Oryzias latipes: one gene and its partners. The protein of the gene in region 1 interacts with the protein of each later gene in a biochemical or structural test. Links are inferred from orthologs where the notes say so. Each region holds a gene or a part of one and is shown in the gene's direction. Other genes may lie near its edges.

Region 1 (3,652 bases):
TTTTTTCCTCTCATGTGGCACAGATCGGACATGACCGGTGAACTTGTAAGCAGGAAAAAACCGCATGGATTCCGTTTTTTCAGATCGGATTCAGACCTCATTTATATGTAGAAATGAATCGGATACGTGCATTTGCGTTTTCCATGTAAGCAGACAAATCGGATATTCCCCAGTAAATGCGAGTCGTACGTCAGTGACATCAACTCAGGACACCACCAACTGAGATCACATGACTTATTAAGGTGCTTTTGTGCGCTGATTTTGCTGTTCGAGGACAGCTGGAGCCCCAGCAGCGTGTTACCTTTCAGCCTCAGGCTTCGTTATTTCCGGTCCCGGTCTGGACGCAAACGGTAACTAATCAAGCGGGACACCGTTGCTCTGGAACAGGCTAGAAGCCGTTTGTTTCTTTGCTTGGATCAGACTTTTAGTACAGCACAACGTCTGCAACACTTCCTCATTCAAAACTCAGAGAGAGCACATAAGCCGACCGCGCAGCTCTCCTTTTTCCTCTCCCGCGCATCCCCTCTCGTGGATCTGCCTCATCCTGTAGCGTCTAAGGCAACGCCTCCTTCTGTCGCTGCGTTGCCTCCATGACAACCGCAGTCACACAAAAGTCCGAAGGAGGTCTGCGGAAGGCGGAAATGCTGCTACGGAATCCTCAGAACGTCTACGTTTGATATTCAGCATTGTATAGTGTAAATGCAAAAATCGGATATGGGCCACTTTTAAAAGATGATGTAAGCGGGTCGTCAGATATAGTCAGAAAATCGGATTTGGGTATCAAGACCTGCAGTATAAATGCGGCATAAGTTGACTGCTCTCTTAAGGCTTGTGGAGTCATTCAACCCTGTTAAATGATTGGGTTTGAACTTGTCTGCCACCTGCTGGCTGACTGTTGCATGTGTAGAGATATACGTTTGTTAGGATTAGTTTGTTTCAAAACATCAGGACCGAACAATTGATTGTTGGGAGGAAAATAGCAGATAAATTGGAATTTTAAGTCAAAATCGTTTGTTTCTTTATGTGGTACTTTGTACTTAGCGTGTTTTCTAAAGGGGGCGGGACTAACTGATGGGGTATGATGAGTAAACTAAAGCAAAGGTCATGAGTTTGAAAGCAAGTAAAGAACAGGATGGAGCTTGTTTTATACATAATCGCTTCATCCAAGAATTTAATGAATGACAGAAAAGGCAACACATCCGATGTTTGTTTAGACTTCTCTCAACCCTCGTGTAAAATAAGAGAAATATCCCAAACTGAAACAATGTTAGTCGTATTTTGTATTATCAGTTTATTTATTGTGAGTGGGGGTCCTGTGTTCCCTCCTCAGTGTCTCCTCAGAGTGACAAGCTGAGTTACGCTGCTGCTGCTCTGCAGGCAGGTGGAGGCCCTCACCCATCAGGCCAAGCCTCCTCCTCCTCCTCCAGCTCAGCCTCACCACAGGTACTAAACACCGCCATCATTTTCTGCTGTTCCTTCTGTGAGCCCTCAGCTTGATTTAGACCAGAGAGGCAGCTGTGTGCGATGCAGACAAGAAGAAGCCAAAGTAGCAAGGCTCATGGAGATTGACATCTGTAGAGATCAGAAGATTGAACTTGATAAAAAAAAGAGTGCAGCTGTTCAATCAAGTTTTTGAAACTTTTCCATTTTTAAACACATTTGGAAAAGAAATATGATTGAATTATAATGTTTATTGCACATGATTGATTTAGATAAAAGTGTATTTTTTGAAAAAACCTGAAGTTGCTCTGCTGTTCTGCCTGAATAAACACTAAAATGGAAAGCAGGAAAGATCACAGTGTCTTTGCACAAATAGCTACGAAACATGACACTTTACCACAGCTGGGGGGTTTATTGAAGAGTCGTTGTTTTAGTCTTGGGAGTTTTTTTTTTCCTAATTAAAAAACTGCCTTTTCTGCCAATCTCTTTCCGAAGTTTGTTTTCTGATACTCTTTCATAAAAAAATTTAAAAAAAGTCCATATACACTAAGCTTGGGTGATAAATTGATTTTATTGATGAATTCTAATTTGCAGTTTATTTTTGAGAAAATCTGGAATGTGGACCCCCCGTTTCTTCATTTCTATGGAACTGGTTTGTTTTTGCGACTTCAGACTCGGGGCAACAACCACAACCTGCACGCTAGAAAAGCTGTTAGAAGGCTTTGGATCCCAGAAGTAGGAGTGGGACGGATTTGTTTTAGCTCCAGAAACAGAAACCAGTCGAGTGGGAGAAGTTCTGTTCTCTAAGAGACGCTCAGGCTAACGAAAGTCGTTTCGTTTGACCAATCGAATGGACTCCTTTTATGTAAGAAGCTCGCCTCCCATGTAGACGAGGGTCATTTGGAGTGTAGTTGAAGTTATGTTGACTCTTATTTAAATTAAACTGTTGCAGTGAAATGAAACGATGTTTTGGGTTATTTTGCTGTTTGTTCATGTGTTATAAGTTACATCGTCATGGCAATATCGATCATTAATAGCGCAAATCGTGTGTTTTCTTCATAACGTGCAACTCTAGTACTCTGTCATTTTTGTTTAAGAAAACAAACGGGTAGAGAAAAAATGGCTTTAAATCAGAAATCAAATTTGGTGTAAAAAAACGTAGATTTTATTATTAGGCCACATCGCCCGGCCCAGTTTTCCCAAATACTTTGTTTTGGACACATTTTCTGTGGATTCGGTTTCACTTCATTTTAGCTGAAGTGTAACACTGCTAAAGTTTAGCTTTTAACTGACTTTTTTATTTTATTTTGTTTTTTTGGTAGCCACCTGTAAAAAGAAAGTTTGAGTTTAGCAAAGAGCGACTGTCTGCCTCCGGTCCTTCTCCCTCAACCAAAAAGAGTCCTGCTGGTTCTCCTGAGAGCAAAGCCGCCACGCCCAAACTCAAGCCAAGCCCAGCCGCTACGCCCAGCCCAAGCACCACTAAAGGTAGGTCCCTGCATTCAGACTGATGCTGTTAAACCAATACTCATCATTTTCTTCTGTGGTCGTTTTGTTCTGCAGTGTCGTCCACTCAGAGATCCACTGAGAAGAAGAAGGAGGTACAGTCTAAACCGGAGCTTAAACCCAAACCAAAAACCAAACCCCAAAGTGAGCAGCAGGTCCCGTTCAAGAAGATCATGGAGGGGGTCGTGTTTGTGCTAAGCGGCTTCCAAAACCCCTTCAGAGGGGAGCTGAGAGAAAAAGCCCTGGAGATGGGAGCCAAGTACCGCCCAGACTGGACGTCCGACTCCACACATCTCATGTGAGCAGTTAAAAAAGGGAAATCGGTTTGCTCAATGTTACGTTTTTCATCAACATCAACAGACACTTGGGTTTGGAACTATCACTGTGAGCGAAATAAGCACTAAAGCAAGACAAAATCCTCATTTTACACAACAAACGTTACATTTAATGGGCCATTAGCTCCCTAATGAGGAATCCACCTCATGCAGTTTATTAGTTTGCTGCTTTCCTGCAGCCATGAAGTGTTATTTGCTCATCTGACTATTTAGGTTTAAGTTAAACTGCATTTTTACATCAACTATAGTACTGCCACATTAAACAGGCATTACTCATGAATTGACTGAGGAGAAAGGGGCGGCGCAGAGACGTGGTTTTACAAGGACAGGGTAAAGAGATAAACCAAGAACAGACTCCTGGATAATCTGCAGCA
Region 2 (3,752 bases), on another chromosome or scaffold:
ACAAGAAAATTGACCTTCTTAACAGGCTTTAACTTATCCACGATCCCCTCTGAGATGGAAAAAGTTTTGATAATCTAATTAATAACTTAAAAGTATGTTTCGTTTTGAACATTGCACTTACAGCCTTGAGGAAAGGAAAGCACAGTGGCGCAAAGAGGAGGAGGAGAGAAAAAGAAACACACCCGATCCTACAATCCCACCTGGTCACACCTTAATGCAGGACAGTGAAAGGCAGGAAACACTGAAATCTCTGAAAGATAGTATGTATTTACCTTCACCTTTAGTTGATTTTGATACTTAATACACCACGTATAGTGTGAGACTTTATAGTTCCTTGGTTAATTATACTTTTTCCTCCTCAGCTCATCGCACCCTGGTGATGGAATTAAACTCACTCCCTCTGAAAGCAGACAACCTGAGTACTCGCTCACGTCGGGCTCATCTTGACTGCAGGCTTTCTGAAATTGAGGAGGCAATAAAGATATTCTCCAGGGACAAAGTTTATATCAAAACTGATTCCTAACATCTCAAGAAGAGGATATATAAAGAGGATATATAGGAAAGGGTGGAATAGGATCCTTAAAAATCAACACAATTTAGATACTGCTGTGGAAATATACCCAAAAAAGTTGTACATTAGATTTATTTGCTTTGAATGCATTTTTTATTTTATAAAATGTATACATGGTATCTTGAAAAACAGTTGTGTATCTGCTTGTAATTTATTTATTTTGCTTTTGAGCTGTATTTGATGTATTGTAGCCACATAACTGTCAGTAATGAAAATGTATATTTTTCTTTCTTAAATCTTATCCAATAATACTTTGTACAGAACCAGTGTCTTTGTCTTTTTATGTATTATACCCAATTTAACCATAAATACACTTGAATCCTTTTTGACGAAGTGCGCACGCGCAGCCCCGCCCCCACCATGTCTCATTGTTCAGAGCAAGCTAACTTTTGCTAACGTGGTAGTCAGAAACTGACTGACACCTTGCAGCTTGTAATCGCTTTCGCACGCAAATATTACTTGGGAATTTTTTTTAAAACACTACAATAGTGAATTACATCCACTATGAGCAAAAGAAAAGCACCACAGGAATCTCCAAACGAAGGAATAACGGACTTTCTCATCGGTAAGTGAAGTTAAGGTTTGCTAGCAGAAGCTAGCCTTTCCATTTAAAAATAAATACCCACATATCTTGCTAATTATGCTTTATTGAGAGTGGCCCCGTTGATTATGTTTCTTTCTCGTCAGTTAGAAAGCATCAAGGTTACTTTGATGTACAATATTTAAACTTAATGACTATGATAAAATCACTCAAACATAAAGCCGACTCTAAGCTAGCAGAGTTAAGCTGATGAATGGGCGGATCGGTGTTTTGAAAATCATGAGAGGTGGGAGAATGCCTTAATGGGTTTCTGTTTGCAGAGTTGGCCAACTACGAGAAAAATGTCAACAGGGCAATACACAAGTACAATGCTTACAGGTATGTTCGGGAGAGTAAGGGAGTGTAAGCCCCATTGTTGTTGTTTTTAAAAATAATTACTATAGCAATGATGTCTGCCCAAAACATCCCCTTTTCACAATTTTTACATTTAAATATGTCCATGCTCTTTGAATCCTTCCTGTGAAATACAGAAATTTTCACTAAATCTTTCATAGAGCCGAGAACCTAACATTGTGCTTTGTTTGTGTTGCATGATGAGTGTGTGTTTTGTGGTTCCTTCTGCTTTCTCTCTTTGCTGCTCCCTTGGTATCGCTGCACCGAATCATCCGCCTCCATCCACTAAACCTCCTCTGCATCCTCCTCACTCACACTACCCACCTTCTCCTCAACAACATCCATGAACCTCCTCTTTCCTGTAGCTCCAACCTCAGCATCCTTTGATCAACATTATCACTGTCCTTCCTTTGAGCGTGTCAAAATCATCTCAGTCTGCTTCCCTGCATTTATCCTCAAAACATCTCACACCTTTCCTTATCTCATCCATCCTCATCACACCCAAAGAGAACCTCAGCATCTTCATCTCTGCTACCCAAAGCTCTGCCTCCTGTCACATCAGAGCCACTCTCTCTAATTCAAAAACATGGCTGCTCTTACCACAGTTTTCTGCGGCTTTCCTTTCGTTCTTTCTTTTGTTACACTACACACCTTCCTCCACCCGTTGCAACCCGCTTGCACATGCCTCTTTTCCCACACTCTTTGTTGTTCTGGACTGTGGACCTTAAGTACTTAGTCCTCCATTTTCTCCACCAACTTCTCAGCAACACGATTTTCTTATCTTCTTCAGTCAGAGTTTAATACCTGCGTTGATATTTTTTTTTTAATCTTATTTTTTTTACCTCTTTCATTCATAATAGGAAAGCAGCATCTACCATTTCTAAATACCCAAGCAAGATTAGGAACGGAGAAGAAGCAAAAAAACTGGTATGTGCTGATATATATATATATATTTAAAATATCTCCTATTTGATGTGAAATTTTCCGAATTGTTTTTTGTTGTCTTAAGAATGTGTTAATGTTTTAAGAAGTGTTTTATGAGCTCTATCTGAACCTAAACTATTTTGTTAACTTACATTTTCTATAACTCCTGAAAATGCTGAAGCATCCGCCTACGTATTTACATTCAATTCCTCTTTCATGATTCAGGATGGTGTTGGTGCCAAAATAGCAGAAAAGATTGATGAATTTCTACAAACTGGCAAACTAAGAAAACTAGAAAAGGTGAGAGTTTACTGATACTGCAGAGGATGTGCTGATAGAATCCATGTTGTCACACAAACTGATTTATTTATGTTTTTCGATAGATCCGAAATGATGATACCAGCTCTTCCATCAACTTCCTCACTAGAGTTACTGGAATTGGGTATGTTGGTAATGTTATTCGTATAGTTGGATGACATGGTTTTTATTGACCTTTACAGTGGTCCTTCAAGAGAAGCTAAAAAAGTTATTTCTGTTCTGCAGATATGATTTAAAAAACATATAATTAGTGTGTCTTTTTTATTTAGCCCTGCTGCCGCCAGGAAGTTTTTTGAAGAAGGGGTGAAGACATTAGATGGTTTGTAAAGTCTCTTATGTGCATTACTATTATGTGACATCAGTATGAATGTGTTGCAAATTCTAAAATGTTTTGCATTATGTTGATTTTCCGTATGTTCCTATTCTTTTGCAGATTTGAAAAAGGTTGAGCACAAACTTAACCACCATCAAAAGATTGGACTCAGGTAAAGGTTTGACATTTACTTATTCAAATACTCAAAAATGACTGTTTAGTGACTAATCTGCTTCATTTAGGTACTTTGAAGAGTTTGAGAAAAGGATCCCAAGAGCTGAAATGGAACAAATGGAGGTAGTTTTTCCTTTTGCTTCTATGTTTTCTACTTCCGGGCTGGAAAGTGTCGTGTATTTGTCAAGCTTTTCATCATCTTGTGTTTTTAAGGCTCTTATCATTGCTGAGTTGGAGAAAATTGATCCAGAATATATTGGAACAATATGTGGAAGCTACAGAAGAGGTGATCTTTACTGTCTTTAGTCATTTTCTTTACTGGTTGGTGGCGTTTGTAACTGTTTATGGTTTCCAGGTGCAGCGTCGAGTGGTGATATTGATATTTTGCTGACCCACCCAAACTACACCTCGCAGACTGAGAAACAGGTAAAAAGTAATCTCATGAATACTTTTATTCCCATCTTTATCTGCAACTCAGTTTTCTGTTCTTTTGTCCTCAGCCCAAGCTCCTCCATGCT
Region 3 (3,752 bases), on another chromosome or scaffold:
CAGCAGAAAAGCCAACTTTTTCTCAGAAATGATAAACAAAGGTGAATGAGGTCCAATTTTCTTACTTGTGTGTTGCCCAATTCTAAGATTGACTAAAATGTGACCAATAAGCAACCAGACGCTGAAAAAAGCAACAACAGAAAGAGTCTTAAGTCTTTACTTGCTAACAAAGCAATCTGATTATGTACTAAAATATTTAAACAACGTCAGATCTGAGCATTGCTGTTTAAAAAAACATTTTTTCAGGCATGTAAATGAGCATGATGGGAGTTTTTGGCTTAGAAATTTTCTGTTGTTTTGTGTGAGAAAACAGAGACGGTAGCTGTGTGTGTTAGGACAGATTGTTCTAATAGAAAAAAACAAATAAACAATGCTGAGACTTTTTGTTCCTCAGGTCAGTTTTACCCGAGAAGCTCTAGCAGCAAACGGGTTATTTGCTAGAGTCTGTTCATTTGGTCAATATCATAGCTGAAAGCTTCTAGGGATTTAGAAAAACACCGAAAATATAATGCAGTCCGACAGGCTCATCATGTCGACTAACATTGGTGTTCTGCTTACTACTGTTCCATTATCTGTGGATAAAGTTAGATTTCTCTGCGTAGAGGGGCACAATGATTCGGCCTTTGTAGCTAATTTAGCTACTCATGTCGTAGCTATGTATGTCATCAACATGGTGGCTTTTTTGCCAATTTTTTTAGCCAACAAATCACGTGTGGGCTGTTGTTAATAACATGTTTCGAGAATTAGTGGTTTTCCAACCTTAAACGAAGACCACGCTTAGCACCCTCACAAGACTGCAGCTCACAACGGCTCTTCCAGAATCTTCCTGCAGCCCTCTTTCTGCCGACTGCTGGTGTGGTGTCGAGTTTTGTCTGCGCGCAGCGCAGACATCTACGTCCACCTCGCGGGAACGCGCGTCGACAGCTAAACCCGACTGTTGGTACTTGTGACCGCACCATGTCGAGTTATGTTCTTTCTCCCAAAAGATATCAATATTAACATGACTGAAACCCACAAATTTAAACCTAAATGAAAAAAAGAACGAATCTAACTTCAGCACAATCACGTTTCAGAAAGTCAGTCATAATAAAAGTTTTAGATACAAAAAAGTGATATTTTAAATATTATTTAAAAAGAGCCAAGCCTTGTTGAATTTTCTGAAACTGCTATGATTTAATGTCCATTCATTGACAAACCAACCAACCAAGAAGAAGAAAAAAGACCAAAAAATTAAAAAGCAACAACTAAAAAATAAAAAAAAATAAAAAGTTGTTTTACAAGATATCATTTTTATACAAGAAAACACGTTTTTATGTCGTTCACAATTTTGCTGTTGTTGCGCGCTCTCGCAAAGTGAAGAACTCTGGGAGGAGACAGAACTTCCCACCCCACCTTGTTCCTCGGTCGCACCCTCGTTCGTCATCACTCCGCGACAAGTTGAACAAACATTCAAACGTGTCCCGCTGCTAAATATTAGGGAGAAAAGCGTAACGAAATGAGAAAATGCCCATTTGCTGGCTCATTAGTGAAGAGGGGAATCACAAACCCATTCACCTGCCTCATTTACAGACAGTTGTCGTGGGTCGAGGCCCAGAAACTACTATCAAAGACAAAAAATGCTCCCGGCATCAAGGTAACGATGTTACCTACAAAAACAGTCTCTAGATTTCCTGTGAGTTCAGTAAGAATGTTAGGAAAATAATCTGTTATTGTTTTAGTGATTTCAGGGATAATACATTTAAGAAAACAGCAGGAATTGAATGACTTGAGCATCAAGTTATTTTCATTCATGTTTGTAAAACGAAATGCAAAGTTTTAACCTGTCTAAATGTTCCTGACTTTCCCATCAGTTGAACTGAAAGCTGAATGCAACAAAGGTTATGTCAAAGTGAAGCAGGTAACATGCTCACAAGAATGATCAGTGGTATAAACAAAATAAAAAGCCTTATTGCTGTACATTTTGTATTATTTTTATTGTTCTATTTTTTTTACCTGTTTTTTTTCTCCCCTCCCTAAGCTGGGGTTAAACCCCACCTCTGTCGGCTCCTTGGTGGTGGGTAAAGGCAATGAGGTCAAAATGAAGCCTGGAGAGCAGCTGCTCGTGGTCAACAGCCTTTATCCATACACCGTGCAGTTCAAAGAGGACACCACCGGGAGCCAGGGCGCCACCAAAAGACCACCAGAGCCAGTCAAAGAGAATGGAGGAAGCCAAAGAGAGACAGACTGCCTGAAAGCTGGACAACTCACAGAAAAAGTCGCTGCAGCTGTCATTCCAGGAGAAGCCACAAAAACTAGTGTGAGGAGAAACAAAGAAATCTACAATCTGTGATTTATGCCTAATATACAAATTATTGTTGCAGACCTGGAGAGTTTTTATTTAAATATTCATTCTCATAATTCATGTTAACTGACATTTTGTAGGGAATTTCTGGGCATTGGAGTCAAGGCTTGAAAACTTCAATGCAAGACCCCAAAATGCAGGTAGCTATAACTCAACATTACTTACTGATAAACGTACGTCTAAATTGAAACTAAATTTAGGTTTTGTTTCTGTTTTAATTGATCTTTTTTTTTTTTTTTTAGATATACAAGGACGATACAGTTGTAGTGATCAAAGACAAGTATCCCAAAGCTCGTTACCACTGGCTGGTTCTTCCATGGCAGTCGATTCCCAGCCTGAAGGCTTTGAAGGCAGAACACTGCGATCTGCTGAAACACATGCAGAAGGTGGCTGAGCGCATGATTAAGCAATGTCCAGAATCCAGCTCACTTAGCTTCCGGACTGGTTATCACGCCATCCCAAGCATGAGGTAAGTCTTTATTATGTGTGTTTATTGGGCTGTTACTCCTTAAAGTACACCATCCATCCATTTTCTTAACCCGCTGTATCCCTTTCGGGGTTGCTGGAGCCTGTCCCAGCTACTGCTGAGGAAAAGCGGTTAACACCCTGTACAGGTTGCCAGTCTTTTGCAGGGCCACACAAACACATGCACACCTCGGGGCAATTTAGAGTCACCTAGTAAACCTATGATGCATGCTTTTGGAGGAAGGCCAGAGTGCCCTGGAGAAAACCCATCGGGAGAACGTTCAAACTCAGCAGAGAAAGGGCCCTGCTGGGAATCAAACCAGGGCCTTCTCAGTGTGGGGCGAGAGCGCTAACCACTACCCCACCGTCCAGCCTCAAATTTCCCCATACTGTTGAAAATTAATAAAGAATAATGAAGAGATGCAACAATTCACTTTCTGGTTTTTCAGGTCACAGTGTTGTTTCACTTTGATACATGTGTATAACAAAATAATAATAAAAAAAAAATTGGTTTTTATTTATTTATTATTATCTAGAAAGCAAGTAACAGTAAACAAAGCCCTTTAGTTTGCTTATAATGACCCTGGTGTAATGTGATAAAACTATATTAAATTTAGCACAATGCTCGTATTTGTTACTTTCAACATAAACATATGCAAACATATGCAGTAGGGATGCAACGATTCCCCTGAGAGCTTGTGCTGAAGCATCACTACCTGGATAAATAAAGGTATTACTGCTTTAAATGTGCTCATTGTGGGTTTGTTTTCAGAGCACAATAAATCATCAGAGTAGTGTTACACGAGGACATCTCGGCTGAATTTGACATTTTCCCACTAATGAACCGTTCTGTTTACACTCTTCAGTCACATCCACCTCCACGTGATCAGTCAAGACTTTGACTCTCCTTGTTTGAAGAACAAGAAGCATTGGAATTCCTTTACCA

Evidence for each region.
Region 2: the proteins of xrcc1 (region 1) and polb form a complex in vitro, tested with the Homo sapiens proteins (5 studies listed by BioGRID, with this or other methods). The link is inferred for Oryzias latipes from reciprocal best matches to the Homo sapiens genes XRCC1 and POLB.
Region 3: the proteins of xrcc1 (region 1) and aptx form a complex in vitro, tested with the Homo sapiens proteins (2 studies listed by BioGRID). The link is inferred for Oryzias latipes from reciprocal best matches to the Homo sapiens genes XRCC1 and APTX.

The regions. Positions count from the first base shown.
Region 1 is NC_019874.2:25,079,842-25,083,493, forward strand, and holds part of xrcc1 (DNA repair protein XRCC1), read left to right. Parts: intron 1-1,330; coding exon 1,331-1,443; intron 1,444-2,762; coding exon 2,763-2,925; intron 2,926-3,000; coding exon 3,001-3,241; intron 3,242-3,652. UniProt on the Homo sapiens protein: Scaffold protein involved in DNA single-strand break repair by mediating the assembly of DNA break repair protein complexes. Negatively regulates ADP-ribosyltransferase activity of PARP1 during base-excision repair in order to prevent excessive PARP1 activity.
Region 2 is NC_019867.2:6,237,064-6,240,815, forward strand, and holds the start of polb (DNA polymerase beta), read left to right. Parts: upstream 1-934; 5' UTR 935-1,075; coding exon 1,076-1,136; intron 1,137-1,432; coding exon 1,433-1,490; intron 1,491-2,365; coding exon 2,366-2,432; intron 2,433-2,654; coding exon 2,655-2,729; intron 2,730-2,812; coding exon 2,813-2,871; intron 2,872-3,016; coding exon 3,017-3,066; intron 3,067-3,180; coding exon 3,181-3,232; intron 3,233-3,302; coding exon 3,303-3,357; intron 3,358-3,447; coding exon 3,448-3,520; intron 3,521-3,589; coding exon 3,590-3,660; intron 3,661-3,734; coding exon 3,735-3,752. Other genes in the region: enkd1 (enkurin domain-containing protein 1), read left to right, coding at 124-260, 363-523.
Region 3 is NC_019859.2:15,250,465-15,254,216, reverse strand, and holds the start of aptx (aprataxin), read left to right. Parts: upstream 1-1,403; 5' UTR 1,404-1,503; coding exon 1,504-1,633; intron 1,634-1,850; coding exon 1,851-1,897; intron 1,898-2,017; coding exon 2,018-2,296; intron 2,297-2,421; coding exon 2,422-2,481; intron 2,482-2,583; coding exon 2,584-2,810; intron 2,811-3,672; coding exon 3,673-3,752. UniProt on the Homo sapiens protein: DNA-binding protein involved in single-strand DNA break repair, double-strand DNA break repair and base excision repair.